Linked DNA regions of Daphnia pulex. The protein of the gene in region 4 interacts with the protein of the main gene of each other region in a biochemical or structural test. Links are inferred from orthologs where the notes say so. Each region holds a gene or a part of one and is shown on either strand. Other genes may lie near its edges. The genes, in order: mitogen-activated protein kinase kinase kinase 7-like, RING finger and CHY zinc finger domain-containing protein 1-like, E3 ubiquitin-protein ligase CHIP-like, polyubiquitin, DNA repair protein REV1-like, protein DDI1 homolog 2-like and cullin-3-A-like.

What was found.
Region 1: the proteins of polyubiquitin (region 4) and mitogen-activated protein kinase kinase kinase 7-like form a complex in vitro, tested with the Homo sapiens proteins (3 studies listed by BioGRID). The link is inferred for Daphnia pulex from reciprocal best matches to the Homo sapiens genes UBC and MAP3K7.
Region 2: the proteins of polyubiquitin (region 4) and RING finger and CHY zinc finger domain-containing protein 1-like form a complex in vitro, tested with the Homo sapiens proteins (2 studies listed by BioGRID, with this or other methods). The link is inferred for Daphnia pulex from reciprocal best matches to the Homo sapiens genes UBC and RCHY1.
Region 3: of the proteins of polyubiquitin (region 4) and E3 ubiquitin-protein ligase CHIP-like, one has a biochemical effect on the other in vitro, tested with the Homo sapiens proteins (2 studies listed by BioGRID). The link is inferred for Daphnia pulex from reciprocal best matches to the Homo sapiens genes UBC and STUB1.
Region 5: the proteins of polyubiquitin (region 4) and DNA repair protein REV1-like form a complex in vitro, tested with the Homo sapiens proteins (2 studies listed by BioGRID). The link is inferred for Daphnia pulex from reciprocal best matches to the Homo sapiens genes UBC and REV1.
Region 6: the proteins of polyubiquitin (region 4) and protein DDI1 homolog 2-like form a complex in vitro, tested with the Homo sapiens proteins (3 studies listed by BioGRID). The link is inferred for Daphnia pulex from reciprocal best matches to the Homo sapiens genes UBC and DDI2.
Region 7: the proteins of polyubiquitin (region 4) and cullin-3-A-like form a complex in vitro, tested with the Homo sapiens proteins (2 studies listed by BioGRID, with this or other methods). The link is inferred for Daphnia pulex from reciprocal best matches to the Homo sapiens genes UBC and CUL3.

Annotation. Positions count from the first base shown.
Region 1 is NC_060025.1:3,027,594-3,031,536, forward strand, and holds the start of mitogen-activated protein kinase kinase kinase 7-like, read left to right. Parts: upstream 1-1,143; 5' UTR 1,144-1,198; coding exon 1,199-1,285; intron 1,286-1,350; coding exon 1,351-1,573; intron 1,574-1,627; coding exon 1,628-1,745; intron 1,746-1,813; coding exon 1,814-1,956; intron 1,957-2,016; coding exon 2,017-2,203; intron 2,204-2,264; coding exon 2,265-2,401; intron 2,402-2,432; exon of another isoform or gene 2,433-2,463; coding exon 2,464-3,210; intron 3,211-3,943. Other genes in the region: guanine nucleotide exchange protein smcr8a-like, read right to left, coding at 13-306, 367-634, 696-874. UniProt on the Homo sapiens protein: Serine/threonine kinase which acts as an essential component of the MAP kinase signal transduction pathway. Plays an important role in the cascades of cellular responses evoked by changes in the environment.
Region 2 is NC_060018.1:4,447,262-4,451,294, forward strand, and holds RING finger and CHY zinc finger domain-containing protein 1-like, read left to right. Parts: upstream 1-1,427; 5' UTR 1,428-1,529; coding exon 1,530-1,589; intron 1,590-1,796; coding exon 1,797-1,958; intron 1,959-2,026; coding exon 2,027-2,093; intron 2,094-2,165; coding exon 2,166-2,254; intron 2,255-2,339; coding exon 2,340-2,522; intron 2,523-2,582; coding exon 2,583-2,678; intron 2,679-2,742; coding exon 2,743-2,842; intron 2,843-2,910; coding exon 2,911-2,942; 3' UTR 2,943-3,533; downstream 3,534-4,033. Other genes in the region: protein KRI1 homolog, read left to right, coding at 1-160; transcription factor TFIIIB component B'' homolog, read right to left, coding at 3,654-4,033. UniProt on the Homo sapiens protein: E3 ubiquitin-protein ligase that mediates ubiquitination of target proteins, including p53/TP53, TP73, HDAC1 and CDKN1B. Mediates ubiquitination and degradation of p53/TP53; preferentially acts on tetrameric p53/TP53.
Region 3 is NC_060019.1:9,014,910-9,018,348, reverse strand, and holds E3 ubiquitin-protein ligase CHIP-like, read left to right. Parts: upstream 1-1,192; 5' UTR 1,193-1,388; coding exon 1,389-1,478; intron 1,479-1,560; coding exon 1,561-1,687; intron 1,688-1,747; coding exon 1,748-1,819; intron 1,820-1,891; coding exon 1,892-2,019; intron 2,020-2,103; coding exon 2,104-2,217; intron 2,218-2,284; coding exon 2,285-2,341; intron 2,342-2,419; coding exon 2,420-2,536; intron 2,537-2,593; coding exon 2,594-2,719; 3' UTR 2,720-2,939; downstream 2,940-3,439. Other genes in the region: CD82 antigen-like, read right to left, coding at 1-23, 147-362, 556-630. UniProt on the Homo sapiens protein: E3 ubiquitin-protein ligase which targets misfolded chaperone substrates towards proteasomal degradation.
Region 4 is NC_060024.1:13,920,027-13,924,170, forward strand, and holds the start of polyubiquitin, read left to right. Parts: upstream 1-1,344; 5' UTR 1,345-1,652; intron 1,653-2,076; 5' UTR 2,077-2,082; coding exon 2,083-2,413; intron 2,414-2,594; coding exon 2,595-2,822; intron 2,823-2,985; coding exon 2,986-3,213; intron 3,214-3,367; coding exon 3,368-3,595; intron 3,596-3,763; coding exon 3,764-3,991; intron 3,992-4,144.
Region 5 is NC_060017.1:8,178,987-8,182,938, forward strand, and holds the start of DNA repair protein REV1-like, read left to right. Parts: upstream 1-1,152; 5' UTR 1,153-1,620; coding exon 1,621-1,674; intron 1,675-1,742; coding exon 1,743-2,385; intron 2,386-2,444; coding exon 2,445-2,923; intron 2,924-2,989; coding exon 2,990-3,364; intron 3,365-3,424; coding exon 3,425-3,517; intron 3,518-3,581; coding exon 3,582-3,710; intron 3,711-3,774; coding exon 3,775-3,952. Other genes in the region: alpha-(1,3)-fucosyltransferase C-like, read right to left, coding at 1-1,094. UniProt on the Homo sapiens protein: Deoxycytidyl transferase involved in DNA repair. Transfers a dCMP residue from dCTP to the 3'-end of a DNA primer in a template-dependent reaction.
Region 6 is NC_060018.1:3,461,810-3,465,814, reverse strand, and holds the start of protein DDI1 homolog 2-like, read left to right. Parts: upstream 1-1,205; 5' UTR 1,206-1,402; coding exon 1,403-1,646; intron 1,647-1,734; coding exon 1,735-1,926; intron 1,927-1,992; coding exon 1,993-2,247; intron 2,248-2,323; coding exon 2,324-2,457; intron 2,458-2,523; coding exon 2,524-2,622; intron 2,623-2,694; coding exon 2,695-2,859; intron 2,860-2,924; coding exon 2,925-3,032; intron 3,033-3,105; coding exon 3,106-3,186; 3' UTR 3,187-3,326; coding exon of another isoform or gene 3,327-3,706; 3' UTR 3,707-3,765; coding exon of another isoform or gene 3,766-3,915; 3' UTR 3,916-3,970; coding exon of another isoform or gene 3,971-4,005. Other genes in the region: ATP-dependent RNA helicase abstrakt-like, read right to left, coding at 3,327-3,706, 3,766-3,915, 3,971-4,005. UniProt on the Homo sapiens protein: Aspartic protease that mediates the cleavage of NFE2L1/NRF1 at 'Leu-104', thereby promoting release of NFE2L1/NRF1 from the endoplasmic reticulum membrane.
Region 7 is NC_060026.1:11,981,844-11,986,057, forward strand, and holds the start of cullin-3-A-like, read right to left. Parts: upstream 2,801-4,214; 5' UTR 2,623-2,800; coding exon 2,557-2,622; intron 2,483-2,556; coding exon 2,285-2,482; intron 2,218-2,284; coding exon 2,032-2,217; intron 1,973-2,031; coding exon 1,769-1,972; intron 1,703-1,768; coding exon 1,523-1,702; intron 1,453-1,522; coding exon 1,258-1,452; intron 1,181-1,257; coding exon 833-1,180; intron 775-832; coding exon 667-774; intron 602-666; coding exon 360-601; intron 289-359; coding exon 162-288; intron 105-161; coding exon 1-104. UniProt on the Homo sapiens protein: Core component of multiple cullin-RING-based BCR (BTB-CUL3-RBX1) E3 ubiquitin-protein ligase complexes which mediate the ubiquitination and subsequent proteasomal degradation of target proteins.

The DNA.
Region 1 (3,943 bases), on a different chromosome or scaffold from region 4:
GATACAAACTGATCATAATATAAAACTGTTTAATTGAGACATTACAGCTTTAAAATCAACATTATCGGGGTTTACGTTGGTAAACAAATCATAAGTTGAACAAATCACCTTTGGGTCCAAGATCTGATCTTCCAGAGGTCTACAGGTTATTTTATACACAAATATTAGACCTGATATCACAATTGAGATTCCTATGGGACAGAGCAAATGCCATGGCTTAAGCTTCTTTTCTTGATCCCCTAATTCAGGTTCTGGCTGAGTTAGATGATTCCATTTGTCAAGCAGACTAGTGATAGTGTTGTTCTCCTGTCAAGGATCAAAGAAATAATACTTGTAGGAGGTCAAAGTACAGTAACTGTTGTCTACCTGTACTCCAACATCCTGTCCTAAGCTCCCCATCCACCTCATGTTTGCATTTTTCAATATTTGGGCAGACATGTTGAGAACATTGAGGATTTCATTTTTCAGACGATAGAGCTTGGTCTGATTTTGAGTGATGTAAGCTATGCAAGAAGGACGCACACCTCCTCTTGCCTGAGAATCCTTCAAAGTAAAGTAATGAAGGATGGCATGGAAATTCTGAATGATGTTGGTCCGAATGCAAGGCACATCAGATATTTCATCCAACTTTTCCCTGTGGGATTAAAATAGTATGAAATAACCCAAAGAATTTTTGAATAATTTAAAATAAATACCCTGGAAAATTCTGATAATCTGTTGTCATTATGTAAAGAAGAAATTCATCCAGATTGAAATTCTCATTGTTATTCAGATGAGGTAGAACAGCTGGGATAGTCAAAACACAACGAGGCCCTTCGACTTCACAGAATTCGCTTATTAGAATAAAGTCTCTAATCGTTTGGCTACTAGCCATGTTATTATTGATTATTACAAAGACTTTTCATTAGGCTGTACAAGCAATTTAACGTGCAAATATTTATTTAAGTTACCCATACGAAGTAAGTACAATGACAATCACATTAAACCAACATTGTGTTGATTTTGAAAGACGAGTGAACTTTTGTCTTGGTGACAGTCCAGCAGGGACGTCTGCTAGGTGGTTCGTGGTGGTGACAAAATTTGTTGCTAGATGGCAGTAAAGAAGGAAGATCGGACCAGACGAAAAGTTTGATACGAAAAATTTTGTTTAACAAAACTTGTTTTTGGATTTGTAGTTGTGTAAATATAATTTGTAATCATGGATTCGTCAGAAACATTTTCTGGCGACTTAAAAACAATACCAGAAGACTTGGAAATAGATATAAGTGAAGTCGAAGAATTGCGGGTTTGTAACATTCCATTATTAAGTACTGATTTTATTTACACTAAGATTGGCTGCGTATCGTGCAGGAAATCGGACGAGGAACTTTTGGGGTGGTATACAGAGGTGTTTGGCGATCCAAAGTTGTGGCAGTTAAAAAAATTAACACATCAGCTGAACAAAAAACCTTCATGATTGAGATAAGGCAACTGTCAAGAGTATCACATCCTAATATAGTAAAGCTGTATGGAGCTTCCACAAAGAGAACAGTTTGTCTTCTCATGGAATTGGCTGAAGCTTCATTATATGATGGTAAATTCCTACAGTTTTTTACACTAGAACTTTAACTACATTACTTGAGTCTAGTTCTACATTGCCGCTCCAAGATATCTTATACCTTCCATCACGCTATGAACTGGGCTCTGCAGTGTGCAAGAGGAGTAGCTTACCTACATGGTATGAAGCCTTGTGCCATCATTCACAGGTGTTTTTTCTTACATTTAACTTCATTGGTGTGTAACTAAATTAATTTCATTGTGGGGGTGCTTACAGAGATCTTAAGCCACCAAACCTCCTATTAATGATGGAGGGTAGAGTTTTGAAAATTTGTGATTTTGGCACTGCATGTGACATGAGAACTCAAATGACTAATGGGCAAGGTAGTGCTGCATGGATGGCACCTGAAGTTTTTGAAGGTAACACTTAAGAAGATTTGCAAATTTCAAAATTATTGGCTCAATTTTCTTCTTTTCTAGGCAACCACTACACTGAAAAATGTGATGTGTTTAGTTGGAGTATCATTTTATGGGAGTTACTAGCCCGTCAAAAACCGTTTAGTCACATATTAGACTCGGCGTTTACCATAATGTGGGCCATTCACACAGGCAAGCGTCCCCCTCTTATAAAAGGCTGCCCCGTTCCGTTAGAGAACATAATGACCAGGTAATGATCAACCACTTTGGTGGAATGCTAATTTTTCAATCCATTTCTTTCTTTTTTTAAGTTGTTGGAATAAAGATCCAAACAACAGACCATCAATGGAGCAAGTCGTCAAAGAAATATCGCATTTGTTTCAATTCTTCCCTGACGAAATTCCACCCCTCGAATACCCTAACCAATCGGATTTGATCGAAGCTGGTGGTAAAATATTTTGCGAATTAATTGTTATTACCTTTTATATACATTCGGGACATGTTGAACAGGAGCCAGCTTGGAAAGTTGTGGCAGTGACCCCAGTTTGAGCAACTCTTCTTGTTCCAGTGCAGTTTTGACATCACTGCCTGTTCCTAGAACAAAGTACCACCATTCACCCGCTCGTCCTGTCACTCCCGCCCATCGAGAAGAAACAGACAGCTTACTGCCAGCTTTTAACCAACTGCTCAGCGAAAAGGAAAACATGCTGCAGCCAGGTCGTTCGCTTGTCACGCCCAGTAGCCTCAAGCTGCTTTCACCTAGAATAATAGGAGGCACTAGCACTGTTAGCGAGCCACTGCACCTAATCATTGGCGGAGAAAGCGACGAGTCAGCCGAAGGCTATGCCATACCGCCATTGGGCGAGGATTTCTTACAGGGTGGTCTAGGAAGAATGCAGTCACCTTATCAGCCACAGATGACTAATACGGCCAACGAAAGTATAGGGCAACTAGGGCCGTTGGAAACTCCCCGTCGACCTCAGCAATTCGATCATCCGTTCAAGAGAAGATCAGCGGAATTTCCTCACGTTGACATATGCGTCCCTACGTCTCCAGTACCGTCGTTTCCAGTTCTTCAACCCTATTCTTCCGGATGGAGCGGAGCAGAAGCTAGAAGAGTAGAAGAATCCGCAAATGTGAGCGTCATGGGCCACCGCAGATCCTCTTCACACGGGAATCCTTCCCAATTATGGACTGGTGTCACTCCACAGCAATCGATGCCTTGCATTTCAAATCTGCCTGGTCAACGTCATATTGGTGAGTAAATGTTTGAATCTATCCTGGTCAAAAATTACATGTCATGCAATCGTGACAGGTACAGTGGTACTTGTTGGGTCAATGTGCCGTGTAAAAATGTGACTCAGTTCCTAGTACGCAGTCGTTTGCATACTTAATGCGTGCGTCAGCACTGTGTGCATCACCCGACCAGTAGTTGGAACAGGCCGGAGCGTTGACACATTAACCCAGGAACGAAGAAAAAGAAAAGAAACAAATAGGAAAAGAAATGGAACGAACTAAATAGAGAGAGAGAGAGAGGAAATAGATAAGAGTTGGTATAGAGGCGGAATGCGATGCGCGGGTAACTTGGTCATGTTGCGCAACTATCGAAAAAATTCTTCCCGTGCAGAAACCGTAGTCGGTTGTTGTTCCAATGCGGATTTCGGCCGCAGACTTTTGTTTATGTGTTAAAATGTTGGTCAATCAGCATTCGATTTATTTTCCCGAGAAAATTCGATCACGCTTGCCCGATCAAAGTATTTGTTTAGAACGCTGGTGAAGGCTCGCGGTGATGATTCACACGAACACGGACAGGATGCGCACGCGGGATATTTTTAACGCACACATTTGCTATTAGCTATCGGACCCCCTCCGTCCTGGCCTTTTTTTTCTACAGTCGCTGCGCTCTTCTCCTTCTCTCTCGTCGTGTGCGGGAGAAAGAGAGAGGGAACCCAAGGTCTCGTTGGAAAGGGTCCTTCAGTCAACACGCTGG
Region 2 (4,033 bases), on a different chromosome or scaffold from region 4:
GAAAAACAAAAACGCAACTGAAACAACAGCTAATAAGAAATCGGCCACCATTCGTGGTTTTGACATAACTGACGATCGCCTCAAAGCGTACGGCATCCGAAACCCCAAGAAATTCAAGAATGCCATTATATTCGGAAATTTGAAAAAATCAAAAGACTAACGGGGTTGGGACTTGGGAGTCAGATTTTGTCAGTAATTGTATTTGGTTTGATTGAGTGGATATTTCGAACGTTCTATCAATAAAAAGACTCGTGTTCCAATTCTTTGAAAGTTGCGGGTTCAAATAAAAATGTCTTCCAAAGAAAGAAAATGAGAGTATAAATTGATCGATAATGACGCTGCGCTCCTCATCTGATAACCTACAGCCAACGGTCTGTAACACGTGGGTCACTTATCTTTCTCGTCGAATAAAAAAACGCACATGAATTGAAATTGAAGGCCTTCTAAACAAATTTACCCAACAAAATCTTAAAAATTTGCAATGCTACTATAATCTCCATGCGAGAGAAGGAAAAGGGGATGACAAGGTCGACATTAAAAAAAGTTTTCGTGAATAAGTAAAAAATCTTCAATTGTCGCAGCTATTTATGTGCAACAGGTCACATTGGCTTACAATCTTTCGTACATTTCATAGAAAATTAAATTACCAGAGTATGCACAACCTCGCAAAAAAAGTCGTTTAAGTGTTTTTTCCTACCTTCGTAATGGTCACACGTGGGATTTGATGTTATCATGTTGAGGGTCGGCGGTTTGGTCGATTATGGTGTTTTGTCCCCAATTGTTCGGCAATGTTCTTTTCAACTGCTTACGAGATCGATGATTCACAATTCACAATCACAGGAAATGATTATGGCAATAATTATTCAGTCAGAGTTCACAGTCGCGCTATACACACTTTCAAATTCTACTGCCAAATTGTTGAGCATCCGACCTCGTGGGCCGCACGAGAACAACTAAGTTTTTCAAGGACCTTGCTGCCCTTTCAATAGGTAGGGTCATTTGCATATTTTTCTCAATTTGAACGTAAAAAAAAATTTCTTCGATTTTCTCCTTTCCTCCTTTTCTCCTACCTTACCCCGGTCCCCGGCCTTAAGTCCATTAATATTTCAAAACATGCACTCCGATAGACTGTATAAAACAGTATGGCAACATTCGAGTGTTTTGATTTTGAAGAACCGCTTTTAGAAAGGACAAGGAAGGGAGCTAGCGACATCTCGTCACAACAAATTTAAGTTCGTGATTAACCAATTAAAGATTAGAGATGAGAAAATTGGATGAAAATTAACTTGCTGGTTACTCTGGATTCCATTGGGAAATTAGTTTTTAAATAAATTGCTGCACAAACAAGACAAACGTGGGAAGTTAGGAATTTTCGGAAAGAAGTCGACCCAACATAGTTCATGTTCATGCCGCTAGGCTAAGCCCAAACCTACACGCTGTACACTAACTGGCCGAAACTCGTGTTTTCTTTTACACTGTGTACACACACTGCCAGATACTGACTCGTTGGAATAGGTGGAGGAGATAAAATGGCTGAGGAGAATGTCGAATACGGTTGCGAACATTATAAACGAAAATGCAAATTAGTGGTAAGTAGTTCGACACTTTGTTCTTAACCAAGTAATGTTGTAACTCAAGTTGGTCGGGAAATAACTGTGGGCACAATGTCTGAAAAATGACCATGATATCTCCTCGTGAAGATAATGCGGTTTTATAGTAATCCTGTTTAAAGTTGTATTGAGAAGTTAAATACTTAATTATTTATTATTTTACTAAACAATAATTTTGTTTTGTAGACACCATGCTGTGACAAAGTTTATACTTGCCGTTTTTGTCATGATGAGAAGGAGGAACACACCCTTAACCGAAAAAATGTGGATGAAATTATGTGTTCATTGTGTGAAACAAAACAACCAGTTCAACAAAACTGTTCCAATTGTGGTATCCTCTTTGGACAGGTAAAGTATCAGACTTTTTTCTTTTCTTTTTTTTTTCAAAATAAAGAAACCTTGATTTTGTTTTGCAGTATTTTTGTGGAAAGTGCAAGTTGATTGATGATGAAGATAAAAAGCAGTATCACTGTGAAGGATGTGGTAATTATTATTACATTTTAAAACCAATTATATTTAATCTTTGGTGACAACTCCTATATCTTACTTTTTCAGGAATATGTAGAGTCGGAGGAAGGGACAAGTTTTTCCACTGCCAAACATGTGATATGTGCTTACCAAAAAAACTTGAAAATCAGCATAGAGTAAGCATTTTTGTGGGATTCTAATTTATACATAAATTATTTTGGTTTTTAGTTCATTCAATTAGTTATTTTTGCTCTGTTACAGTGCGTTGAAAAGATGAGCCGAACAAATTGCCCAATTTGTTTGGAGGATATTCATACATCAAGAATTCCTTCACACATCCCATCATGTGGTCATCTGATTCACCGAACATGTTTCAATTCATTTATTCATCGTGGTCACTATGCCTGCCCAGTTTGTCAACGTTCAATGATGCCGATGGAATCGGTACTAAAATTTAAATTTATAAAACGAATTATAACGTTACCAATTGTGTTTCCATTCTAGTACTGGCGCATTTTAGACGATGAAATTGCCTCAACCCCAATGCCAGTGGAATATCAAAATTTTTTTGTCACGATTTTATGTAACGACTGCCATCAGGTTAGTCATTTCTCGGCACTAAAGAGTTTTTAAAATGTTATTATAATTAACAATTTTTTTGCAGTTTTCTGAAGTTCCAATGCATCCCCTTGGAGCGAAGTGCCAAAATGCACCATGTGGATCGTACAATACGTGCAGAAGCGGTGGTCCTGTTAATAGACCTGGTAATTATAATTTTATTAATCTAGAGGAACTGCGTACCACAAATCAACTTTTTCTCTTTTTTTTTAAGCAGTCAGAGAACAATCTCCTAACTCGGAATAAATGGCCATGATTATCAAGGGAATAGGATGTTGTTTGTCATTTACTTGGACGGCGGTTTTATTCTGTTGACATGCAATAATTTTATTGGCCATCTACTAAATGGTCGAGTTTGTATTTTAAAGGCTTTTAAATTTTCATCCGTGAATCTTCCACCTTATTCGGCGGTAGGCATCTGGAGCCTGTTCGTGAAATTGGATCGAAAGGTTTTGTGAATTTTTTTCTTATCGTTCAAGTTACTCGTACCCCGTCAGCCATCCTGCTGATGTTTGATACCTGTTTTGTTGCCCTTACCTCGTTGCAGTGGCTAAATTGCCGTCATATTGTAATGCACCGTAGTGAGTAAAAAAAAACATCAGACAAAAACAATGGGTAACATTTAGAAATGACTCCTCGAGTAGTTTGAAAATGGACACTGCCAGAAAAGTTCATATCCGAAATTATGAAGATTCTTCTGTGCAGCTTGTGAGTTTCTTGTAATTTTACATGTCATATTATTACAATTGATTAAGCACTTCTCTTCAATTCTATGTGGAATGTACCTTCTGAACATTTTCAAATAACAATTCTGTATAAATATACGTTGTTACCTTATTCACTGGCCTTAAGCAGTAATTAGATCGTTATTTAATTCTGGATGGCAACAACATACACACGCACACACAAAAAAAAAATTAACAGTGAAGGATTGGGCAAAATGCGTAGGGGATCTTATTAGGAGACCGGTTCAAACGGTTCGGCTATACGGTATACATGTACCAATTGATTATTAGGATCTCCGGGATTGGGTTCTGCCACCAACACTAAACTACCGGGTTCAGCTTGAGCAAACGCGGGATTGGCTTCTGCAAGAGCTGGAGGGACTAGAAAAGATGGAGCCTGGTTAGGAGTTCCAGGAACTTCAACGACGGTTAACCCACCTTGTTCTAAACCAATTTGTCCAAGGGGAGAATTCAGCAAACTGTCGAGTGGAATATTTGAATTTGGAGCAGTAGGGTTAGCATCCTTCGAACAATTTGCTGGTTCCAAAGCATCATTCTCAGTTGGGTTTGCTGGTTGTTCGTCGTCATAATCAAGAGGCTTTACATTCTTTC
Region 3 (3,439 bases), on a different chromosome or scaffold from region 4:
TTTAGTAATACGAAAACCAGGTACTGAAGGCGAGCAGTGCGATGCAATCATTCATCGTAGCGAAATATTCCATTTAGTCAAAGGAGAAAGAAAATTACTCTAAAATCTTTTTTTGTTTTTTTTTTTTTATACAAACACGAGCTTACGCAAGATATCAGGCATTTTTTCTCGCCAAAGGCACCACACATCCCGAATAGGCTAAGAAATATGAGTAGACCGCTGACGGCAATTGCAACCACGATGTTCATAACCATATATTTGTCGTTTACCACCAAAAATTTCTGTTTGTCTGATCCTTTTGCAAATTCTTGACGTTGTACAAGTGACGACGCCGACAAGGAGATTAATACAATGCCGCTCAACTGCATTTCAAAGAATATGTCAGTATCATATTTTATGAAAAGCAATAACAAACCCAGTCTTCCAAACGCAACATTTAATTCGATAATTTCAACCATCTTCAGTTAAATTCTTTAGTAAACTCACGTTGGAATAATATAACTGTTAATATTTTAACAAATCTACAATTACATTGTAATAGAATAATATGTTTACCAGGATTAACAAGTTGAGGCACAAAAAACTCCATCGTAAAATCTTGTGGGAACGGAACGTAACCTCGTCCGTCATTTCCCTTTGACTGTTTTTCCAGTTACTATTTCAAATCGGAATGAAAGCCCGTGTGATAAGGAAACTTACTGTACCACTAACAGGAAACCCAAAATCCGAGTAAAAGAAAATACATTTGCAAACAAGCAATACAGCCGGAACCCAAACGGTATAAAAAAGTGACGTCTATCATTAATATCGTAATCCATAAAACCACGTTGACTCCACCAGTTGGTCTCACGCTTCGAAGTTTTAACTCCTGAGATGGTCACACGATTAAATAAGTAAATAACCAGAATAACCACTGCGGATCGCCTACTGTTCTCTAGGTTAAAGCCCAGCAGTGCGCAGTCAAAATTGTACGCGCGTGTATCCAGGTCGGATGTATATCACTCCAAATAACCTTTTCTTTTGCTTATTTCAATAAATTCTCTGCTTTAACAGCTCTAATTAATTTTCTTATCCTAATTTTCAAATTAGATAGGAATCGTTATGGCGTCTACTGCGCGTATTCATCATAGATTAAAATCTATTTTTATTGGATGGTAGATGGCGGTGAAAAGGTCTTTCCACAATCCGCACTTTACTTTACTTTCATCCGCATTTTATAGTTTATTTATTAAAAGCGTTTTTGTTGTTTTCCGCTTTAGTGTCAGAATATCTGACGTTAATTGGAATTGTGCAATTACGTTTTCGTATCTATTTTATGTGATAGTGTTGCTTTTTTAAATTCTTTCTCGATCCTACAGCACCCAATAGTTTCTTTTTTAGAGAAGAAAATGAGTGACAGAGAACACAAAGATCAGGGGAATAAGTTGTTTTTAGCTCGACGTTTCGATGAAGCAATTTCATGCTATTCCAAAGCCATTGTAAATTTCTTTAATTAAATTAAGCATAAATTATTTTGTTTTGCAACGCGTAAATCAAAGTAATTGTAATTGTTTTCTTTAGCTTAAAAATGGTTCTGTTCCACAATACTACACAAATAGAGCTCTCTGCTCTCTCAAGCTTGGCCGTTGGGATGCAGTAGTGCAAGATTGCAAAAGTGCTTTAGAGTTAGACAACACTTGGGTGAAAGGTTTTTAGTATAAATTCTTCAAAATACTCTGAAAATGCTATATATTGCTATTATGTTTAGGGCATTTCTTTCTGGGCCAAGCTTTAATGGAAAAAGAATGCTATGAGGAAGCAATAAAACATCTTCAAAGGGGTACTCATTTCCCCAACTTAACATAAATTTTGAACACATAAAATCTGATTATTGAAATTTGCTTGTTATTAGCCCGTGATCTTTCGATGGATCAGAAACTTAATTTTGGGGATGATATTACCAGTCAGTTAAGACTGGCAAAGAAGCATCATTTTACAAAGCAGGAGGAGAAAAGAATTTCACAAGAAATCGAACTACAGGTAGTCTGTTAATAACATTCTCTTTGTCCACTCCACTTTGCAAAAAATTATGATTCATTTGAAACTTGGATTTTATTTTGATAGATGTATATAAATAGGCTCATTCGAGAGGATCGAGATCGACAAATCGATTTGGTTAGTCAAGACAAAGAATACAGTTCAGTGGAAAACGAAATTTCGAACATAGAGAACGTCACCGTGAGCATATCTAGAGTATTTTTCTTGTTTCGTTAGTAGACTAATAATACTTGATTAAAATCGGTAGGATCGCTACCTGGCTGAATTGAATGACCTTTTCGCAACCGTCGATGACCGAAGAATGGTACTATAAATTATTCAACTGTGTGTTTCAGTACGTCTTATACCATTAAGAAATTGTCTTTGTAATTGTGTCGGTTAGAAACGTGAAGTTCCAGACTATTTATGTGGCAAAATCTCTTTCGAGATCATGAGAGATCCAGTCATCACTCCTTCAGGAATAACCTACGATAGGAAAGACATCGAAGAACATTTGCAGGTAAGTGAATTCAAAATTGCCTAGTAGATATTAGCCAAAAGATTTGTTTTTACGCAGCGAGTTGGACATTTTGACCCTGTGACGCGAGTTAAATTGACCAAAGACCAATTGATTCCAAATTTCTCCATGAAAGAAGTTGTCGACTCGTACCTGACCGAAAACGAATGGGCTCAGCACTACTAACCACTTTTTTAAGGATCATTCATTGATTTTGATTCTCTTAAAAACTCCGCCGCATTGTATTAAATGAAATCGATATATATTATGATTTGAATCGCCGAGCCCCAGTTGTGATGTTTCCTATCGGGTTGGATGATAATCAGGAAGTAAATGTTGCTATACAGTCTTTCGCTATTGATTGCACATTGCTGTTGTACTTCAATAGACGATGCTGGAAATTTTATATATACCTGATTATGAACCTCCTATTAAATTTGATTTTATTGGGATCAGAGTTCGCCTTGAGCAGATTCTACACCTGTAGGATTGCTCCAATCTTTCAATAGGTTATATTCTTTAGACTAAATTATCGTCTCCTCTGACAATTGTTTGTGGGTGATTGATTTTATTACTTTAGCCAAAGGCAATTGATGATTTGCAGCCGAACTCTATTGGTACGTTTCCTTTCATTAAGCACTTAATTGAGCTTGGCGTGGTTCGTTGTGGATGTGGCCAAGGACAATTGTATCAGAGTTGGTTAAGTTGGTCATTAATCAGGGGGGTCGACTTGAACGGACGGTACTATCGATCCTGGTACAGCACGGGACTGGACCGATATTCACTTAAATTATAATAAACGTCCCATGGGTAAATTGTGTTTGCCACGTCGTCAACTACAGTTATTATCTTATCAGCACTCTAGAGAGAAGTCTGTTGTGTATCTTGCAGTGTGCATACAAGGGC
Region 4 (4,144 bases):
GCGTGCCAGTTGCGTTACCGCTGGAACGACCTCCTTATGCTGCGACTGGATCCTAATCGTCCACTAAAGGAGAAAGACGTCCAGAAACTGGAACAGAAAATGAAACGAATGCAGAGAGATTTGCACTACGACCTGATTGCCTTCACGCAAACTCAAATTTTGTACACCATTAAACGACTTTTAGCAGCTGATTTGAAGGTTATTTACCGGGGCCATGCTCTAGAATCTGAAACTCCAAATGAAGAAATGCCAAATGAGATTAACCCGTTCTGGCCAGAATTCCAAGCAGTCGCCCATCCAAGGAAAGGTGGGCTGCAAATGGCCGACTTTCTTGTTTACGGATGGTATGAAATTTTATCATTGTAAATAACAACTCAAAAATTATTATAAGAAAATTTCCGATTTTCTAGTTTGGAAGAACCCGATTTCACCCAAGATTATCTCAGCACACCATGGGCTTGTCCTATATGCGAACTCAATTTCTACCTGACGGGTCTAGGGCGATTGAGGCACCAGGTCCAGTGCCAGAAGACAAAAGAGTTGATGGAAGGAGGTATGAAATGTTTTTTAACAATCTGTTTGCTGCCCTCTATCCAGTTTACAATTTTCCGTTTTGTTGGGTTATTATTTAGGTCAGGGTGAACCAGCAGAAGCTTCCGAGTCGAAAACGGGTTATTTCTGTCCTGATTGTCGCACCACTGTGGAGCTGACCGGCATTGATTTACTGCGTCATCAAAGGAAGCACCAACAGGAAAAGTCCAACAAACCTGAGGCAGATTAGTCCTATACACGCAGAAAGAAGCCTTGCCCAAAGTCCTTCAAATTAAACACGTGGGACACGTCGACACCAGCACTCATTTCCGCTGCGCATTTTTGCGAACATCATCACATTATAATCCCCTTAAACTCAAGGTTGAATAAAGACCTATGTAAAACGACGCTGAATTGGAATTTATTTGCAATGAATTATAGTTTTATTCAGAGTCATGGAAGCGTAAATACATAACGGTTTTTATCTTGTTCGGTCTAATTAAGAAATTTCTCCTTATTAGTTGTTTTTTTCTTCGTCACTTTCTATTTGTATACAAGTTTTGCCAGCAACCTCATACGTGTTTCTACTTTCAAAATTCTGCCACGTGTAAATATTATCTCGTAAAGGTTCGCAACCTACTTGAAATGAAAATATTGGACCCAAAAAGTTTGGTGGAAAAGAAATAGAAAGTATGAGAAATAAAGGAATAAAGGATATCCGCGATTATTTCAAGGCTGAGGCAAATCCGTACAAAATTAACGTCACTTAGATAAAAATGTGGAAACTTCCAGAATTAGCTCAAATTTCATAATCACGGAATATTCTACGTCACATATTGTTTCTCTGTCGTTGTAGTCACGTTTGAGAAGGTGACGTTTCATCGTTACGTTATCTAACGACAAACGAAAATACGAAATAATCCTTCTAGAAAAAGCTAGGGAAAGCCGCAGGGGACTTGGTACGAACCTCCCCAGGCGCTTCTGTCGCGTCTATATAAGTCGACGTCAGCCATTTTAAAAATCAATTCGCGTCCAGCACCCAACTCGAGCAGAACGTCTTAGCAGTTGCTTCGTCGAACACATATTTTAATTCAACTTTATCATCTGATTGATCAAATTTAGTAAGTTAAACCTTTGATTTCTTTGTCCTGAATAGATATCCATTGTTCTTGTGTGTAACTAGTTAAATTAACTAAGATTTTTTGGGGGAAACGAAAAATTTACGCCGTGGCAAGTTGTCCCTTTGTTCGATTGTGTCCGCCATTTTCTTTCCTCGTTTCATCTCTTTTCTCTTAGTAACAACTGGTTGGAAAATATTTCATGGTGTAAGATGAGACAGTTATTGAAATTTACTAGAAACATTTTGTATTACATTAGTTTTGATTGCAACTTCTTTAAAAATAATTGGCTAGTAATAAAATTTATGCATGGGCGTAACTTTCCTTTGTTCGACGTGACGTAATGATGACGATTGGTTATGATGAAACTTCTGATAAACTGGTTTTGTATATGATACTAAAGTAAGTTTAATTTTCGTTTCTTCAGAAAAAGATGCAGATCTTTGTCAAGACATTGACTGGCAAGACCATCACCCTTGAGGTTGAGCCTTCTGATACTATCGAGAATGTTAAGGCCAAGATTCAAGATAAGGAGGGCATTCCACCAGATCAGCAGCGTTTGATCTTTGCTGGCAAGCAGCTGGAAGATGGTCGTACCCTGTCTGATTATAACATCCAGAAGGAATCTACCCTGCACTTGGTCCTCCGTCTGAGAGGAGGAATGCAAATCTTTGTCAAAACACTAACTGGAAAGACCATTACTCTGGAAGTTGAACCTTCTGATACCATCGAGAATGTCAAAGCAAAGATCCAGGATAAAGAAGGTAACTATCAAACCTTTGCCTACTGTTACTAAATTAACCTGATGAGTATTAGGATTACAATGACATTTAGAGTGTCTAAATTTCTTCATGATTACAATTATATCGCAATAACCTGAAGTATTCAATACATTTTAATTTCCATAGTTGTCTGATTGAAATTACAAAATGTTTCTTTGTTCAGGCATCCCACCCGATCAGCAACGTCTCATCTTCGCCGGCAAACAATTGGAGGATGGTCGTACTCTGTCCGACTACAACATTCAGAAGGAGTCAACATTACATTTGGTGTTACGTTTACGCGGAGGCATGCAGATTTTCGTTAAAACTCTTACTGGAAAGACCATCACTCTCGAAGTTGAACCTTCTGACACTATCGAGAACGTTAAAGCCAAGATTCAAGACAAAGAAGGTAATGGAAAAAAATAAGAAGAGAAATTTATTGTAGTTGCTGATGACACTCTTAGGACACCTAAATATGGACCCTGATTACTAAATAATCTGAAATTTAAATGTTAAATGATTTTGGTAGCATTAATCTACTAGATAATATTAACGATTTGAATTGTCTACAGGTATTCCCCCCGATCAGCAACGTCTAATTTTCGCTGGAAAGCAGCTCGAAGATGGCCGTACTTTGTCTGATTACAACATCCAAAAGGAGTCGACTCTTCACTTGGTTCTTCGTCTCCGTGGTGGTATGCAGATTTTCGTCAAGACTTTGACTGGCAAGACCATCACTCTTGAAGTTGAGCCTTCTGACACAATTGAAAATGTCAAGGCTAAAATTCAAGACAAAGAAGGTACGTTAGTTTTTGAAAGTTCGGTTGTTCTGCAATGATGATAATTTTATATACGCTAATATCAACAACATGATTACAATTAAATCTGATGTGGTATCGTGGTAAATGGCAGAATGTTTAGGTAGAAATTTCAATGTTATTGCTTTTTCTGTAGGTATTCCCCCAGACCAGCAACGTCTGATCTTCGCTGGTAAGCAGTTGGAAGATGGACGTACCTTGTCAGATTACAACATCCAGAAGGAGTCTACCCTTCACTTGGTCTTGCGTTTGAGAGGAGGTATGCAGATTTTCGTGAAGACTCTTACAGGAAAGACCATCACCCTTGAAGTGGAGCCATCGGATACAATTGAGAACGTTAAGGCCAAAATTCAAGACAAAGAAGGTAATAATTTGGGGCAGTCTTTATTTTTTATTCCATCGATTATGATGACACTTTATTAGCTCTTTAATATGTACCCTGATTACCTATTTTCCAACGTGTACTGATATAAATTCTAGAACTTAAACAACTTTCTATGGCGTAAAAAATCTAATCCATTCTTCTACTCAGGTATCCCACCCGATCAGCAGCGTCTCATCTTTGCCGGTAAACAGCTGGAAGATGGTCGTACCTTGTCAGATTACAACATCCAGAAGGAGTCTACCCTTCACTTGGTCTTGCGTTTGAGAGGAGGTATGCAGATCTTCGTCAAGACTCTCACTGGAAAGACCATCACCCTTGAAGTTGAACCTTCCGACACGATTGAGAACGTCAAGGCTAAAATCCAAGACAAAGAAGGTAACATTATTGGAGGGATTTTCCTTGTTTGCTTACTATAATGATGACAATTTATTAGCTCTACAATATGTACCCTGATTACATTTTTTCCAACGTGTACTGATGCACATCATGGAGTATTCGGCAAAAACTCGGCAACGCAAATATATAATC
Region 5 (3,952 bases), on a different chromosome or scaffold from region 4:
GGCATTATTTCCTTCCGGTCATCCGACAGATTGAGTTGTGCACAAAGAGAACACAAGGCCTGGCCGCCCATCTCTTCATATCCACTGCGGATAATGTAACTGGTTTTCCATTTCAAGTACCTCTCGTAAAGTGTTTGGTTGCCATCGAGCAACAGCAAGTAATCGGCCAGTTGTTTGGGTGAATAACTCAGGGCGTCGATAAATGAATACGGCGGAGCAATGTCGCTGTAATTGGCCCTACCCATGACAACTGGCACCACGTCAAGCTTCAATATCGAATAGAATTTCTCCGTGACGTAATGGCTGCACAGTGAATTCTCAAACGACAGATAAAACTTGTATTCCTTTTCCAGCATGTCGTAACATTCCGGATGTGAAATCCCCGTATCAGAGTTCCATTTGCATTTCAACGGACCGCAAAGACCAAAGATGTCGATAGGGATGTGCTTCTGCAATTCTCTGACGTAATTTTCTCGCCGACTTTGAGTTGTGTTGCAATGCGAAACAAACCAGGCGACCAGTTTTGTCTTTTTCCTTATTAGATAAGACTTGGATTTTAAATCAACCGCTGCCCGTTCTATCCGGCCATACGGATAAGGAATGTTTGATTCGGGCAGATAACTCATGGTCCAGTTGAAATATCCGATGTAATCCTTTTGGACGTTTTCCTTGTGATAGAAAGGTGATTCTTGGCTGAAAAAGATGTAATATTGATGACTCTCCCGTGTGTCGGCTGGTGGCAGCTTGTCAGACTTTTCCAGTTGATGAAGCACAGCCATATTGAAAATAATGGCATCAAATTTGCCCAGTAAGTTTGATCGACGATCAGTTGTGACTCGACAATTCCTGTACGGACACGAGTTATTGTTGGGCAAACTTCTAAGAAAGACTTTCATTTCGATTCGATCGTAACCGTTCCACAATAGAATGTTCTTCGTCTGATGGGACTCGGATAACACATCATTAGGGTGGATGCGCACTATTACTCTTTCCCGAGTGATCGATGTCTGATGATAACAAATTATAGTGATCACAAACATTATTATAATTCCAGCCAAGGATAAGTACCTAGAGACACAATAACGTTGTTCCATTTCTGGGAAACAAAACTGGCAGTTTATCGTCTTCTTCTGATTAACACACAAATACGAATGAAGATAATACCCCTGGCAAACCATCAAATGAAAAAGAGGATACATGTAATTATCTCCGGCCATCATCATCTGCTATACATTTGGGAAGTTTTATAATTGTTCAAACAGGAAATACTTTGGGCGTTCCTCTTCCCATGCTCTTCCTTTGTTTCCTACATTTTGAGATTTGTTTTCCTGATAACATTCAAATCTTCTTTAGTAATTGGCATATCTTTTTTTGTGTCTTTCCACACTTTCAAAAAGAATAACAACAGTCCTGATCCAGTAGTTTTATTTAATTTTTTAAAAACTAAAATTTCAAAATATCTTTTCCGAACACGCGATTTACAATATCTGGCAATGCGCAATTTCTTCTGCCATCTAGTGATATTTTTTGAAACAATTTATGTAAACAAACGTGCACAGCAAACTCAAATGTAGTGGAAAATTTTCTTGCAAGTGTTGAGATTTTCTTTTTTATTAAACGATGGCTGGAAGGGGTAAAAGGAAAAATAGGGACGATAATGGATTTGCAGAGTGGGTGAGACGACTTATTCGACTTCTGACACTACTAATTATGTTATTCATATTTGGAATCATTATTTACAGGGGGGTTATATGGCAGCAAAAATTTCTAAACTAGAAAATCAGTATTTGAATGAACAATTCAATGAAGTACAAGAAGATGATAAACTAAGCAATGTATTTTCAAATGTTGCAATTTTTGTCAATGGATATACCAGTCCAACTGCAGAAGAACTGAAGCGCATCATGCTGGCCAATGGAGGAGTTTACCACCATTACTATAATTCAAAAACGACTACTCATATAATTGCGTCCAACTTGTGTGGTGCTAAAATCAAGAAACTCAAGGGCGACGAAAAATTTGTTAAGCCAGAATGGATTGTTGAAAGTCTGAAAGCCAATATGTTATTGGATGTGAAGCCCTATTTGCTTTACACTGGGCTAACTTTAGACAAAGGGCAACAAAAGTTGGACATTGCTTCAATACAGAAGAAAAATGATGACAATCAAACAGCAATAGAAAGAAAAATTGATGAAGCACATTCCTCTGAACCTGTTCCACCTGGTGATATTACTAGACATTCAAGAGAAATGAAACGCGCAGGAGAAGACGATTTTTTATCTGAATTTTACAAACGCTCAAGGCTTCACCACATTTCCACAATGGGAGCGTTATTCAAAAGACATGTGACTGAGCTTCGAGAGAAAAATGATGGTGTTTTTCCAGGTACAATTTTGATAGCAGCATTTTATTAATGCAATTACATGTAATATTTAAAAATTTAGGTATGGAAAGTATTGAAAACTGGAAGAACTTGACTGGTTGCCTAGGAAACTACAAGTGTGAAGAAACTGTTTTCATGCACATTGACATGGATTGCTTCTTTGTCTCGGTTGGACTGCGCAACTATCCATCGTTGGTGGGTAAACCGGTTGTTGTGACCCATGCAAGAGCTGACGCTAAACCGCTTCCAAGACGCGAAGGCAGCAATCGAGAATATGAATTCGACTGCTATAAAGAACATTGGATCAAAAAATCGAAATTTTCAGAAAATAACAGCAATGCTGTTGATACGGTGGCTACGCTTTCAGATGTTTTTCCACGACTTCAGGATTTGGATGAAACTTGTTCCATGTCCGAAATCGCTTCGTGTAGCTACGAAGCTCGCGCAGCTGGAATTTATAACGGAATGTTCATGGGAGGTGCCTTGAAATTATGTCCTAATCTGGTTGCCATTCCGTACGATTTTGAAGGATACAAGGAGGTAATACATTTACAATCAATTATTTAAAATCTTTAATTCATTTTTCCGTTTGTGGGCGTGTTTAAGGTGTCCACCTCGCTGTACAATACTGTTGCCGCGTACACTTTGGACTTGGAAGCCGTCAGCTGTGATGAGTTGTACGCAGACATTACCTCCGTTTTGCGCCAAAGTGGACTCACGCCAGCCGAGTTTGCTACTCATTTGAAAGAAGTCATCTTTAATAAGACACAATGTAACGCCTCTGTCGGAATGGGCCCGAATATGCTGATGGCTAGGCTTGCAACCAAAAAAGCCAAACCGAACGGACTGTTTTATATCAACAAGAAAGACATGAATGAATTTATGAAGGACCACAAAATTGAAGATCTGCCGGGTGTCGGAAGGTCCATGGCTCATCGACTTCATGGCATGGGCGTTCGCACTTGTGTTGAAATGCAGCAAGTATGTGTACATAGCTTCTATTTCATTAAACAAATATGTAATTGTGTTTCTGAAAATCAGGTAAGCTTGGGAAAGCTCCAACAAGAGTTTGGTCAAAAGCAAGGACAAACATTATATCATATGTGCCGGGGAGAAGATAAACGCGCTCTAAAGGTATTATCTCAGTCTCAGGTTAACTTTCCATTTCAAAATTGTTAATATTGCGTGGTCCACATAGACGGACCACGTTCGAAAATCTGTTTCGGCAGATATAAATTATGGAATTCGTTTCGCAAATGATCAGGAAATGCACAAATTCGTTCAAGAACTGTCCATTGAAGTGTCCAAACGAATGGAAGAAATTCACGTAATTAATTTAAACATTTTTTTAACAGCGAAAGCAATTTTAACTTTGTTAAATGTCTCTTTAGGTGAGAGGAAAACTGTTGACTTTGAAGCTCAAAATCCGCGCCAAAGATGCCCCTGTAGAAACAGCGAAATTTATGGGTCACGGAGTATGTGATAGCATTTCTCGATCCACAACATTGTGTTCTGCCACTCGCGACACCAAAATCGTCGAAAAAGAAGTTCAAATCCTTTTGAAACAAC
Region 6 (4,005 bases), on a different chromosome or scaffold from region 4:
GCAACAAAATTTTTATTTTTTTTCCTATTATTTTTTTCCTTCAAAGTAAATTTACCTGTTATTTTTTAATTTTTAACAAGTAAAAATTCACGAGTTAAGAAAAGAGAAAATTTTAAAAAAAGAAAGGAATTTGAGTTGCGGAATACGGATCCCTTGCAGAAGACTGCTAAATCAGCAAGTTTTCGCTAATTAAATCTTTCAATATGAATCTACATAAGGTAGACAGTATTTTCTCACTTTATTTATCGTGCAGTATTGACCTCATTAACTATTTTCAAGATCTGGCGCAAACGACGGTCACCTTTGAACTTAAAATCTAAGTGATGAAAGAAATCCGTAACAGTTGCATTTTAAGTTTCCCTAGAATCTATTTTCGTTGCTATTGAGTTTATTTATTTTATAATTATAAAAAAGAAATTTCAACCAGTTTTCTCTATCTTTTATATAATGAAAAAAAAAATCCCTTCAAAGCGATTGACTGAAAAAAACAAGTTGTATTTGTATAAGCAATGCAATAGTTAGTCGCGGTGGCAATCTAAAGATCTGAACGGCAAAGATAAAACGAACTAGTTATTCAATAACTCGGCATTTTTTATTATGACAACATGGAGGAGAAGATAAATTAAAAGCGGCAAAACTACACATATAGATTCCAATCGAATTGTTATGTGGTTTATGATTTGAGTGGAGATTGACATTATCGTATCGGAATGTTTAAACGTTATACTGGAATGACGTGATCGCCTGTTTCAAAGGTGAAACATTGTCTACATGTAAATAACTTGTTTTTCATCGCTTTGAGATGATTTCCTGGTCTAAAAAATTTCATGGATACATTTTTGATCTGTTAATCTTATTAAGATTAATTGGAATTGAAATCATTTTTAGATACTTCATAAATATTACACACTTAACAATATTTGTGGCTAACTAAATTTAACATTCATTCATACGGTAGAGTAAATTCCGGCAATAGGTTTAACTAAAAATACCTTACATTTCAAATTTCGATCTAAGGATTTTACTCTACCCTAGCAATTAAAACAATTAAGGAAGAATGACATGAGATCTCAAATTCTCAAACTCTCAAGCACAGATAAAGACCACTGTCTTCTTTATCTATGTCTCAAGTAAAAACTGCATCGAACTGCATCGCAATTCGCAATTGCCGCCGATTTTTTAATTGAGCCGAAATATGTGGCAGCGGTGCATTTCCCCCATTATACATATTACATTGTTGTGTAGTCACAGCTTTTGATTAAATCGTATTTTTCTACTCTACGTGATTGAACTAAGTTGCATTCTGTTTGTTTGCGTTATTAATTACAGGATTTCCTTTTTGTTGCAAACTTTTGTTGTTTAATTCAAACTGGTGATTTCTTAAGTTGATTAGAATTACAATATGCGTATTACAGTTACCACACTGTCTGATGACATATTCAACTTGGATGTGTCTGAGGACTTGGAATTGGAAAATTTTAAAGCATTTTGTGAAGTTGAGTCTGGTATTCCAGCAGCAGAAATAAGTTTAGTTTATAATGGACAAGTTATGAGTGATGGATCAAAGAGTTTGAAGAATCACGGTTTAAAAGAAGGGGATGTTGTTGTCATACAGAGGCAAAGAATTACCACCAATCAGCCCCAAGGTCTACACTCACTTTAAGAATATTGTTGCAACTTTGATTAATAAAAGATTAAAAAATCAGGACTTATGTGTTGTATTGATGCTTGCAGATCCTTCTCTGAACTTGGACTTCAGTGCTATTCAGGTGCCGTCATCTTCCAGGGGAAATAGAAACACTAATCGGGGCAATGAAAACGACCCAGTTTTCATAAGAGACATGTTTCTAGCTAATCCTGACCAACTTGCCCAGCTCAAGCAGAATAACCCTCGTCTTGCTGATGCACTGCTATCAGGAGATTTAGGTCTCATCATTATATAAATTTCTTTCCTATTTTCACACTTCAACTAGTTATTTGTCATCCATATAGCTCGTTTTACTGCGGTCTTACGTGAACAAGAAGCTGCCAGAGCAGAACGAGAGAGACTTCGAAGCCTAATGTCTCGTGCTGATCCTTTTGACGCCGAAGCTCAACGACTAATTGCCGATGAAATTCGTCAGAAAAATATTGAAGCAAATATGGAAGCAGCTATCGAATACCACCCAGAATCATTTGGCACCGTTGTTATGCTCTATATAAATTGCATAGTAAATGGACATCCCGTCAAGGCTTTCATAGACTCTGGTACCATTTTTGTTTGTTTTGTTTTAATCGATTTGTGACTAACTTTTGCGGGATTTCCCCGTTTTATACTTTTTAGGAGCTCAAACTACAATTATGTCTTCAGCTTGCGCATTAAAATGCGATATCCATCGCTTAGTTGACAGTCGTTGGGCTGGTATTGCTAAAGGTGTCGGAATTCAGCGTATTGTTGGACGCATTCATATGGTCCAGGTATAAATTTTGGCTATTTGCCTTTGAGTTTTACTAGACTCTAATTAATTTTTTTTATTTTGAAAGATCCAAATAGGAGATGACTTTTTACCCACTTCGTTTTCAATTTTGGAAGAACAACCGATGGACATGCTGCTGGGATTAGACATGCTTAAACGCCATCAAGTAAATTTTAGCTTTTTAAAGTTGTTGAAAAATCTACGCTGTAGCTTTAACGTAAAATCTTTCAAACTTTAGTGCTTGATTGATTTGAAACGCAACCTCTTGGTCATCGGAACTACCGGAACCGAAACACCGTTTTTATGCGAAAATGAGCTTCCTGACTGTGCCCGATTATCTGGCCCACGTTCTGAAACCGAATCTTCTTCTGCGGTTGAAATGGAAGATCATGAACTCGCCAAGGTTATTTTAGATTAGATAATTCTTCAAACATGTTTTTATCATCGTATAACTAATTTATTTTACAGGCCCTTCAAGAGTCGGCATTACCTGATCCCAGCACTCAACCTCAGGCCGACAAATTCACTGAAAAACAAATTCAAGATTTGGTATCTATGGGATTTGTCCGTGAACAGGTAGGCCTACTGTTCTGTAATTTTGAGTTTAGTATTTTTTAGTATGTTGAATCTACATTGCTATGATCTACAGGTGATTGAAGAGTTGAGACGATTTAACGGCGACGTTACTCAAGCTACTGCTGCACTTTTTGCTAAGTCTTTAAAATTTTAATTTATTGGTCGTCATGTATTTCCAAATTTTTTCTTTCGATAAGATACAACATATCGGGATTTTCACAATAATTTTAAAATTGTTCTTTTGCAATTCACGTGTACAAAAAAATTATAAATTGTGGTATTATTGAGAAACATTTAGTAGTCTGCCGCAGAGTAAGACAAGTAATCTTTACGGCCAACGGCAGAAACTTGTTTGTTGCTTTCCGCTTCTAACTTTGGACACTGCGTAATACGATGACCAAGACCGCCACAGTAACTGCAACCTTTGTCCCCTGTAAATTTTGAAATCAACGTTGTAAATTTTTCATTTAAAGAAAACATTATTAAATTACCTCCGAGATCTTGGAAAACTTCCGTCTCTGATTGCAGTGTGGCCAAAAAGGGAGGGACATCTTGCTTTGCTTCGATAAGCAAATGTTTGAGGTCAAGTAAGACGGACTCTTCGTTCGATTTGTTAATAAACGTTGTTGCTTGCCCCTTATTTCCTGATCGGCCAGTACGTCCGATTCGATGCACTGAAAGTAAGCCAGATTTTAAAGTGTGGATTTTTTTATGATCATTATTTCTTTAGTACCGTAATTTTCGATGTCATCCGGCATGTCATAATTTATGACATGTTGAATGTTGACAAAATCCAGTCCTTTTGAGGCTACATCGGTGGCCACTAACACATCCTTAATTCCTTGTCTGAAGGCATCAACAGCACGAGAACGCTCCTCCTGGTCTAAAAATGTTAATAAGTTAAATCATGAACTAAAAATTGTGATAGTTTGCAGTACCTTTGCTTCCGTGAATGGCTACAGCCTCAATACCC
Region 7 (4,214 bases), on a different chromosome or scaffold from region 4:
TTGGGACTTTTGACAAGAACGCGTTGAGTCGGTTTGCCCATCGCAAGCGATTGCAATGCACGATCCAGATCTTTTTTCGGAACGTCAGTTTCATTCATGATATCCTATAAACAGCATCAAATATGATGAATAAGAAATCATTAAGTTCTACGTGCTCTTACTTCGTAAGTTAGCCTATCTCGGGTGTTAAACAGCATAAGAATACACATCTGATAGGTTGAAACGGAGATTATGTGTTTTCGCGGTCCATTAGCTGATGACGAGGGTGTTGACGAGCTGGGGCCATCACTTCATGGAATCAATCGAAACATTCGATAAGATATGCTCAGTATATAGAGACAACATATAAATGTTCTTACGTTTTTTCTTTTGTCTCAGACTCCTCTCGTCTAGGTCCATAAAAGATTGCGCTCAGATCAGCCGACCCTAGAGCGGGTTGTAGCGTCAACTGTCGCCCACTGTGCTTTGCTAAATAAAATCGGCGAAAGACCTCAAAAGCGTTGCGTGGTGCCAATGGTAGTGTACAAGTAGCTGACGATTGTGTTGGCCAGAATCCAGTTGTTAGTACGCGAACACTCAAGTCCACTCCGTAAAGGGAGGTCTAATCAATAATCGATGGTTGGAAGGCCGTTTTATAATTGCATTTTTTTACTGGATATTTCTTACCCCAGAAGTTTGAATGTGATTTTTGAAGTCTTCCATGAGCATGTTGGAGATAGACATATCCTTGAACATGCCCTCTAATTTCGAGGTAAATTGACACCCACATTCAGTCTAACAAAGTAATTAAAATGTTAGTACGAGCTCAATAAATTGGAAATGAATAAATTACCTTCAGCTTAGAAATCATGTTCTTCTCGCTATCATCGCTAACAGATTTGTTCAGCAGCAGGCGCTTGGCCAAATGTTGTTTATAATAACGCTCGAAAATATCCTTTTCCTGGAGAAAACGGAACAAAACCATGGTTTTGTCGAGCACCAGTTCTATGTCCTGCTCTGTCATTCCTTTAACGCCCTTCTTGAGCTTGTCATCGATAAAGAGTGATAGATATTCGGGAGATTTCAAATTCAAATTAAGAAAATATTCAAAATCTGAAGAGATCATTTTCTTAAAGATTGGATCGTTTACGAAGGATTTTCCCAGAAATGTATCATAGCGATCCTTAAGATCTAATAGACTCTATAGTGTCATTAGAAATCAAAATGAAAGAAATCATTATTACAGAGAGAAAAAAAGGTAAATTTTAATAAAAATACCTGGACAAAATTCAATGCATTGGCACCGGATTCGTCGACATTAACCAGTGCTTTGCCTTCTTCTCGTAAATGCGCGCTGACACAACTAGCCATGGTTCGCAAACCATCCGCTACACGACCCAACAACTTGTACATACAGTGTAAGTCGTCAGTTTTCTGGCATTTTAACATGTGTACTACACCAGAATTTTCCATCTAGTGTGAAAACAAGAATTATTTTTCTGTATAGCATTTTTTAAAACACACTAATCTAAGTTTTACACACCTCAACAATCGTTTTCATGTGTTTCTGTATAAGTTCCTCTTCAACTACTGCAACAATACGCTGCTCGGTCGACTCATCCAAATAATGTTTGGCTCTTTCCGATTCTTCATTAATGCGCGCCTCGACTTTCTTTATGTAAACTGAAGCTGAATTCTCCCCTAAAAACCGCTGACTCTCAGACTGTGAAAGCAAAGTAAAAAAATAATTAAATAAATTGTAGAAAAATTAACAACCAAGTTTTTGTACCCTGTAGAATTCTGCAGATTGAGAAAGAAAAGGTCTTTCAAAATCCTCTTCATAGACAGCTCGACTGTCTATACCCAGCACCATGAGCATTTGACAAGCTGCTCTAACAGAAAGCTTATCTGCAACTTCTCCTTTACGCTCTCTGACAACCATTTCCAAAAGAATATGCCTTAGGTGGTCACGAATGCCTCCATAACGAACAACCTTATAGAAAGTTCAATTAAAATCAAATCCAACAATAAACTATTGAATTAGGCACTTACTTGATCACGAAAAATAATCAATCCAAGATTGTAAACATTATCAACATTATTTTGTTGAACATAAACTCTGTCCATGTACATGAGGATGTCACGAATCATAACCATAGATGTTTGATGATCACTCCATGCTTGATTTAGAATGTGAAGGAAATTGTTGTTCAAGGAAGAAAGCACATCTTGACGAACCTATGTGAAAGTGATCAGGCAAAATCTTTAGTAAAATTGAAAATTTTTTGAGCAAGAAAGATATTACTTTAGATTCTAAATGATGAGTAACAACTTCTCTAAGGCCATTGTACAATCTCTCTCCATGTTTGTGTAGAACCATTGTGTATGCATTTCGGTAAAGTTCTTCAAAACTAAGACCAGAGTTATTCTTCTTCTGAATTTCTTGAATGGCATTCTTCAGTAAACTCCAAATATTTTCCACATACCTCTCGTCCATCGTCATCTTTATTGAGAAAAACAAGAAAACAATAACAAAGATATTCTAATGCCAGAATGAAGTGTTATAATAAACTTTACAGGGAATGCACGAATTCGCATTTTTCCTTCTTTCTTTGAACCGCCGCCGAGACCACCTTTCATCATCGTGAAACTCACTCAAATTTAAATAACGAAACGAAAAAAATACAAGTATCGGCCAAATATTGATAGTTCCGAAACCTTTAAAACGTTTCCATCAAACTAGTTGGCCCCCCTTGTAAGCAAAAAAAACAGGGCAACCTAAAGGCTAACCTCTCTTTCCTTCTCTTCCTCAGAAAACTCAACGTTGTATTTTGCCATCTAGCGGCTAAATTGAAACACATCCATCTGAAGGACAATGAAAAATGGAAATCACCTCCACGCATTTTTTATTCTTTTTAAAATACGCATCGACATTGGCCACTCGCAAGAAAAAGACTTTATTAAATATCATTGATAAAAAAATTATTCGTTTGTTTCATTTCCGTTCAAAAAATGCTCATAATAATAGCTAGGGTTAAGGGTTGGCAGAAAATTGTGTTGAATATTTAAAAAAAAGGCACTAAAAGTAAAAAGTCACATTCACTGGAGAACTCGTAATGAATTATGCGCTTTGAGTCAGACAGTAGCATGCTCCTTGCTAATTTTACTAATATAAATGTATTTATGCATATCTGTGCCTGCCACAGCGCCGTGCGCATTGTCGTATTCTTAGGGAAATCTTAGCTCTTATCTCTTATTAAAAAAGAAAGGACTTAGGAAGGACTTACATAATTCGTTGTAATCTCGGATTCAAATTCTCTCAGCTTCGTTTCATTGAAACCCAATATCGCAAATAAATTAAGAAGGATTTATGCTTAGCCACCACGACAACGTCCAAAGACTTATTTATATTCTGAATAAACTATTATATAAGGAAAGCTATAATCAGGAGCTTTGTTTAACTTTAGCCAGTTTACTGTTGTTTTAAAACCAAGAATATCCATAGACTAGAGGTTTTTATTTACTAAAATGGAATGAAGAATGGAGGATGGGGGAAAAAGTGTTAGATTGTCATTCATGTTCTTATACAAAGCACTTGTGTAGGTAAACATCCGATCGCTTCCAGTAGTTTCCACTACTTTTTAAAGGAATCATCATATCTACAAAGGCTAAAGACTCAAACAAGATGTAACAATTAACACCACACCACACAGCACACATTATGAATCCAAGCTTAGTTGGGGGCTAGCCATATTCAGATGGTTATCAATCATCTGAAAAAGTTCAGGGGGTTGAGGAACTCTACCAGTTTCCATTTTAGACCAAAGTGGAACATCTGTAACAAAAATAATGATAAGTAGGTAAGTTAATAGGGAAGTAATGAATTCAATGAAATCTCACCATTTAATGTGATTTCAAATGCTCCAGTTGAAATTAATTGGCCCTCAACAGCATTGCATAGAAAGAAAGTCATCAAGCACGCATAAAATTTGTTCTGCTGAGTCCACTCCCAAACTGAGGGAGTTTGCACACCTAAATGCTCAAAAATATTGGTTCCCGACACCACTACAAGGATGAGCAGTATTTTCAAAATTCCCTGAAACAAGCAATTATATCATGATAAAGAAGGGAGTTTGTTAACTGTATGTTTAAAACAGACATACCAAAATAGATGCAATCTTTTGGTTTAAATAGGGTGGAGGATGGTTCTCTCCTTCGATTGCCAAAGATGGGTA